Linked DNA regions of Caenorhabditis elegans. The protein of the gene in region 1 purifies or fractionates together with the protein of each later gene. This does not show direct contact. Each region holds a gene or a part of one and is shown on either strand. Other genes may lie near its edges.

The links.
Region 2: the proteins of hlh-12 (region 1) and vha-20 fractionate together in Caenorhabditis elegans (co-fractionation; one large-scale study listed by BioGRID). This does not show direct contact.

The regions. Positions count from the first base shown.
Region 1 is NC_003282.8:8,478,009-8,481,216, reverse strand, and holds hlh-12 (Helix-loop-helix protein hlh-12), read left to right. Parts: upstream 1-1,770; coding exon 1,771-1,829; intron 1,830-2,065; coding exon 2,066-2,173; intron 2,174-2,291; coding exon 2,292-2,577; 3' UTR 2,578-2,622; downstream 2,623-3,208. Other genes in the region: spp-10 (Saposin B-type domain-containing protein), read right to left, coding at 641-652, 699-782, 837-1,012, 1,061-1,238, 1,367-1,438, 2,809-2,898, 3,128-3,190. UniProt on the Caenorhabditis elegans protein: Transcription factor which binds the E box motif 5'-GCAGGTG-3'. Involved in migration of the gonadal leader cells; distal tip cells (DTCs) in hermaphrodites, and linker cells in males.
Region 2 is NC_003284.9:14,162,368-14,166,478, reverse strand, and holds vha-20 (Renin receptor-like C-terminal transmembrane spanning segment domain-containing protein), read left to right. Parts: upstream 1-1,972; 5' UTR 1,973-1,973; coding exon 1,974-2,148; intron 2,149-2,205; coding exon 2,206-2,569; intron 2,570-2,622; coding exon 2,623-2,962; intron 2,963-3,034; coding exon 3,035-3,130; 3' UTR 3,131-3,380; downstream 3,381-4,111. Other genes in the region: sym-4 (WD repeat-containing protein 44), read left to right, coding at 1-315, 468-569, 708-1,124, 1,302-1,424.

The DNA.
Region 1 (3,208 bases):
TTTGAAACAGTCTGAGTGACACTTTGGCACTCATTCAGTACTCTATGAGAACCAACATACTTCGTTTTACCTTTCTAGAAATTTAAAACATTTCGATAATTTTTCTGCAACTGCCGAATGGTCTAGTCGACATCTCATCTCATTTTTCAACTACTATAACTTTTTAGACTTTTTATAAGAAAGCCAGTAATGTCGTAAGCTTTACAATTTTCAACTTGTGGATAAATAATTGTGAACTTTTTCAAAATAACAAGCGCAATAACTTCAAATCCACATAATGACATACCACGTTTCCTCTACTTGTTCAATAGTCTCACACTGATACTGAGAAGTCTTACGTTTCAGAAAGGTTGGTAGAGTTGCCATTAAAAACTTCAATGTGCTCGAAATGCTGATAAATTTTGGAAAGTTCTGTGTGTTTTTTTACTTTTAAACGGTGTCGAATGAAGGTTTTGTAAAACATCGATTGTTTTTGCCACTAATAAGGTATGTTTTCATTGTCCATAAGTTATTGATCAACTTTCAATTTTTCTGATAGTTCAGCAATGTTGTAGCTATTTGTCATGAAAATGATTTATTCTTTAAACAGTTTATCAGTTATCAGCAAGCAGAGAAATGAAGAAGTTTGATGTTTTCAGGTCTAGCAGTTCATCTGGAATATTTTAATTAAAATCGAGCATTCGAATACCCAAACTCACAGCCTGACTGAATTTGTTTTGGCTTGCAAGGACTGCGGTCAAACTGACAAATCTTGGAGCAACAGATGACATGATTTGTTGACACTGAAAATTGAGATTTAAGCTTTAGAACATTAAAAAAAACTAATAAAAACTTACACTTGGTTGGAAGAATGATAATAATCCAGAGCAGAAAGTCTCAGTCAGTGAGTTTTCGAAGAATTTCTCCATGGCACTTCCAACAAGGTTTGAGCTCAAATATGTTTCCAATTCCATCATTTTCGGACATTTTTCAGCTTGAATCTCTTGGAATGTGAAATCACGAAGTGGGGCAACTGAAAAATAGTCGGTCGATTATTGGACACCTCATTATTACAGCAAACCTGAACTTGCTGGACAACACTTGTTAGCTAGACAAACTCCTTGTGGAGTTGCCTGTTCAACTGTCATCTGAATAACAGTTGGGAGATATAAATCCAAGAAATCAATACATGAATCAGTCATGTTGGCTGTGACAATCTTGTAGCATGCGAAATCACGGACATCATCGGAAAGTTTCTTCTGAAATCACTAGAGGTGAATCATTTAAAAATTTGTTTTGGTGTAGGTGATTGAAATAAACAAATACACAGTTGGATTGTTGTTTTTATGTTACGAAACTATTTTAATTGTTTTTGCAATAAACTTACTCTGTTAGTGATCATGTCTGTTTGCATGTCTTCAACAACAAACTTGCATTCGAAACAGGACATGGCGAGAGTCTGAAAAATGGGAGTGTATTGCTTCTATTCAAATTTTGAAAAATAAGAAACCACATCAAATTCCCTTTTTCTTGCAAAATAACAACGAAATCTCTTTCCATCTATAAACTTATGAGCAATATCATCATGTTCCAATTATTTACCGACTTTGTCTCGACAATGTCAGTAGAAGGGTAACATGTGTGAAGCAGGTGGCTGTTGGGACGGCACACGATTCCTTTTTTAGATGGTAAAGGGTCAGTTACATCTGTCATTTTCTTTTCATTACTCAACTCCTACTTGGCTCACAACTCGTCATTTTTTATAGCGTCATCTTACACAATTTTATTAAAATGGCGAAGAAACCGAGAGTTACCAAGCTGAATACGGATCGAAGATCGAGAGCAAACGAGTACGTTCTCAAATTAATTACGATAAAATTAACATTTTCTTGAATTTTTTTAGTAGTTAATACGACTCCTAGCAATAAAATTGAATATAATATGAAAATTAGTTAGAAAAAAATATACCGGTCAGAACTCAAGCTTCATGAAGAACTGTTTCTAGATAGAATGCCCCACATTTTTCAATATCTCAGAAATCACATGCTTCATCATCAAAGGTTTATTAAACATTGTAAACTTTCAGACGAGAACGACAGAGAGTTTCCGAGATGAACGGAATGTTTGATGTTCTACTTAATCTTCTTCCGCCGTCACATTTTAAAACACGACTCTCCAGAGTTCAAATCTTGAGGTAAGTTCCCCAATAAGATGAGATCTCTTTTAGAAAATTTTCAAAACTCTACGAAAGTTTACTTGTTTGTTTTCTTAATTCAAAGATTTTCATTAAAAAAATAACCCTCGCATTTCAGAGAAGCCACCTCTTACATAATTCGTCTTCACAACTTTCTTATTGAAAGTTCAAATAGTGACATAGACGCAATAACTGTATTTCCGCACATCTTCAACGGAGAACGCAAGTCAAATAAAGATGCAATTCGTCGTCCCATGAAGTTGAAGCAGGGTGGCGGTGTTGCTGCTTTCATCTCACGCCACGAACTTCCCCCACTTCAACTTCCAAATCCCGTTATCCCAATTTTGAAGCCCACTTCAGTTCCAGTTTGGCCCCAAACCAATGTTTATATTGCTTATTTTTAAATTATTGAGTTTGTATTTGAGTTGAATGAAGTAGAACGGTTGTTCATTAGTAGTTTAAAAAAACCCATTATACCTCGAATAGCAGGTGGCATACTTGACAGCTGCGAATAAAAAAGTTGAGTTGAAATGCGCGAAAATAGGTAAACATGTTTTTGTATAGTTGTTTCAAATACTAATTTAGAATCAATCTATGGTACAACAAGAAATACAGTACCCTATCATTTCACTAACCTGACCCTTGTTGTTTTTCATTGCGGCTCCATTCCAGAATGCATCGACCTCATTCTCAACCTTTTCCTTTTCTTCATTGGAAGCTTCTACCTGAACTTATATAACAATTCAATTGAATAAATTAAAGAACTTAACCTAAAAATCTGAAATCAAAACGTCACAACAAAGGGATTTATAGACAAAACAAGCGATTTATGGAAGGGAACATGGGAAAAATAGACAATTCACAATAAAATAGGTTTATGCAAAAAAGGAGAATAAAGCTTAATGGGAAACATATTTATAGGAAGTGACGTTGGAAATATCCGAGGATACCCACATATTTGCGAGCCTTGAGTCCTTGAGCAGAAGCAGAGTTGCAGGCCTTGATGTCAACGCACACCTGAAAATATTGAAATCT
Region 2 (4,111 bases), on another chromosome or scaffold:
TCCAAGAATTACTTTATACTATCATCTGGAATGGATAGGACAGTCAAATTGTGGCATTTGTCACGCAATGAATGCCTTTGCTGCTTCCAGCACATTGACTTTGTCACCTGTGTTGCTTTTCTACCAAAAGACGATCGTTACTTTTTGTCAGGATCATTGGATGGAAAATTGCGGATGTGGCATATTCCCGATAAGAAAGTTGCCGTCTGGAATGACACTGAAAAGAAATACATCACTGCGATGACATTTGTGAAGAGTGGAAAGTTTGCGGTTGTAGGAACCTATGACGGAAAATGCATCTTTTATACTTCTGATGTGAGTTTTGCAAAAATAGTGTTTTTTTTTAGTTGAAATTCTTTGGACGCAGAAATAAGAACCAATTTGTGATCATCGGTCGCAGACTGGTGGTTATCGATTTTTGGCATTGCTGTCGCTGCGCAAATGACTTATTCCTTATTAATTTTCAGCAACTGAAATATCACACTGCTGTGGATGTACGGTCAACAAGGGGTAAAAATGCCCGTGGTCATAAAGTCACCGGATTGACTTCTCATGGAGACAAACTTTTGGTAAGTTAAATTCAAGAATCGGTCAATAGGGAACTATAACAAGAATAGTCCCAAAGTGGAAAATTCAAAAATTGAATGATTATGCATGTATAACAGAATTTGATAAGAATTTTGTTGCAAAATTAAAATGACTTTCAGGTGACATCCAATGATTCGCGAATTCGAATGTATGACATTCGAGACAAGGCTCTCACATGCAAGTTCAAAGGGGTGCAAAACGACCACTCTCAGATCCGTGCTGCCTTCTCACCAGACGGCCGGCACATCATCTGCGGCTCAGAAGACAAGTTTGTCTACATTTGGCGTGCCAGCGACACCACCGTCGCCTTATCAGTCCGGAAGGATCGCAATTCGTGGTGGGAACGGGTGCGAACACACAACGCGCCTGTGCCTGTGGCCGTGTTCGCGCCAAGACCTCAAGTGTTCTTCAACATGCTTAACAAGCGGGATAAGCACTCCAAATCTGACTCGATTGATTTTAATATCAGCGGGCAAGTGTTGCCGGGACAATCGGATTCGCTAACATCCAATGGCAATTTGTCGATTCCAGGACATGTAAGTGCTTGTAGTTAAGAGACCTTTGATGAATTATTGACTTTTAAATTGGTCTAGAAGCGTTTTGGTACATAAATCATGAGTGCAGAAAACCACCGAAGGAATTCTTTCCAGAAAGATAATTTTTTTACGCTTTGCAGTAGTTATTAGTAATCAAAAAATCAATTTTTGTTTCAGGTAATTATCAGCGCTGATTTGAATGGAGTGATCAAAGTGATGATAAACCGTCCGCGTCTGGTCAAGGCAAATCCACTGGACCCAAAGAATTCACGTTCTCGATCCTCCACTCTGCTTACCTAGTTTTCTTAATAACAGATATTAATCATTTTTCTTTGAAAATTTATAACTTTCCTCCGTTTTACTACCAACGGCGTCAAACCGACCCCGAGTGAGCTTTATTAGCAAATTCCACTAGATTTTTGTTTTTTTTTAATCAAACCGCACGATGTCAATAGTTAATTTTTGAATTTTTGAATCTTTGAATTTTCATCCCACTCTACTCTTTTTAGCCCTATTGGTCTCCAAATTCTATGATGATGTCTTTTGTTTTTTTGCTCGCGCAGCTTTGCTTTTCTCTAGGAATAACCTATGTGATGTGTAAACCTTTCGTCCTAAACGGGATATGAATTTCTTTTCTTCTGGGATAATTTCTGCAGTTGGTAACCCATACAGTTCCAAATGTTTTCTATGAGTAATAAATTTTTCGATTTGCATTTTAAAACTATTCCCCTATTTTTAAATTATTTTATCTGTTGTCAAATCACAGTCTGATATATATTTTATTATATTTTTTAAAAACAATTTTCATGTTATGCCTTTAATTGTTTTTCTCAATCAATCAATTTCAGGATGAAGTTTGTTCTTCTCGTCTCCGCTCTGGTCGCCGCGTGTGCCGCATCTTCTCTGGAAATTATCGCAGCTCCGGCTTCCCTTAAGTTCCCGGATGCTGACGCAACCTTGAAGACCACACTGATTTCCACTCTCAATGAGAACATTCTGGGACTTTCTGCAAGACAAGTTGATGGTGAGTAGTGATATAGTTACTTTACATATAAAGCAAAGAAGATGAATCGTTTTTCAGGATTTTCGGTCTCCGTTGACATGTTCTCTCGTCCACGCGCCCTTGCCGTCGTAACTGTAATTGGAGCTGACAACCTGAACTTGGGAGGAAAAACCTACTCAACCAAATCCGACGGTGTTGAGAATGTTGGATTCGATCAAGACATGGCGCTGATCTTTGGAGCCGACCGTGAAAATGTGCAAGTTTCGGCTGGTGGAATTACCGGATCAATGCTCGCTCTTGCCGCCCAACAAGAAGCCGTTGATGCTACTGTAATCAAGACCAAGAGAAGCACACTTGTCAAAGAACTTGAGGCTGTTTATCAACTTGCCGCTGCCATCAAGAGCGCCGGAGTACAAATGGATAACAATGCTGATGTTTTCCGGTAAGTTCTGTTAGATCCCGGAATCTTTGTTTCACATTATTTTTTTATTGTAGTGTCTCCATCACCGGACTTGTCGGAATCACCGAATCTGCCCAAAAGGAAGAAGCTGTCGCAGACGTTAAGGCCGCCATTGAGGCTCTCACTGCATCCATCAACAATGCTTACGGTGGACAAGCTGTCATCGAGCTTCTTGCATTCGAAGCTGAATCCGGAGCCGCCGAGAAAAGCACCGAGTCTCGCGAAATTCCAAACCATAACATTCAGAAGAGAGACACAAAATCAAAAACGCCAACCCAATTAGCTCGCGAAAACCTCCAAGTGACTGTTCCAGTGTCCTCTGATTATCCAGCAATCTTTGCTATCTTCCTTGGATTAGTTGTTATTCTTGTTGTGGTAAGTAGAAAATTACAGAATAATGTTCATCATATAACTGATGTTAACTCCAAAAAATGCCATTAATTTCAGGCTCTCATCTACATTGTTGTGGGAATGGCCTCAATCGACCCAGAGAAGGATTCCATCATCTATCGTATGACCACCACAAGAATGAAGAAAGACTAGATTCTACAGCATCTTCATCAAATGAGCACTATGCTCACCATGTTTCACTGTTGAAAATACTATTTTCGATATTATTTTCAAATTCTTAATTTCTGATTACCGTTCGAGACATTCCATTTTCCAATTTTTCCAGTAATTGATTGTATTCTTTTCTAAAATTTTGATGACTTTTTTGTTTATTTGACTATTTTTTCCCATCCTGTTGGTTTATCTACTTCACAGATTAGTACTAATAAATGTATCTTATCGCAGAACATTCTTCTACAGTGAAAAATTTATACAGCTTCAGAAGTAACATTGGGATGGTTTCATAAAAACTTGATAACCGTCTAAGGAATGCAAAATACATACTTTTCAATTTGGACTCTCTAAAGTATAATTTGCCAAAAAAAAAAACCAAAATTGCTAGAGTTTCCGCAAGCATACTTAATATTTGGCACAACATAAAGTCTGGTTAATTGATCAAAACTCTCTCAGTGGAAAAACAAACAACGGTGTGGCCATTATATTTGTATACCCAATTGTCAATCTGAATTTGAAAGTGGGAAAGAAAACCAAAGTTGCATCAAACTTTGAATATTCACTATTGATCTATTGACCGGTTTAAACATTCCAATCTTTTGAGATCAGCGTTTGATATGCTGATTTTCCAATTTCAACGATATGTACTATGTAAAAATAACACATTCTAAATGTAATCTATGTAATGTGTTCTTCTTGTTTTCCGTGTGACAATCCTTGTTGTATTTCTCCTCCTCAGGCAGAGTCAGCAGTAACTGGACCTTTCTACATATCTACAGGGCAAAAAAGAGGGGGGGGGGGGGGGGGGAAGAGGGTTCTCGGGCATCAATTGAAGTAAGATGCAGATGAACATACACAAAGATACATATGTTCGAAATGATAAAAAAGGTATACTAATTTTATATCAAACATATCATACGCGGATAGCAAAATTTTTCTAATGTTTTCTATTTGAAAATA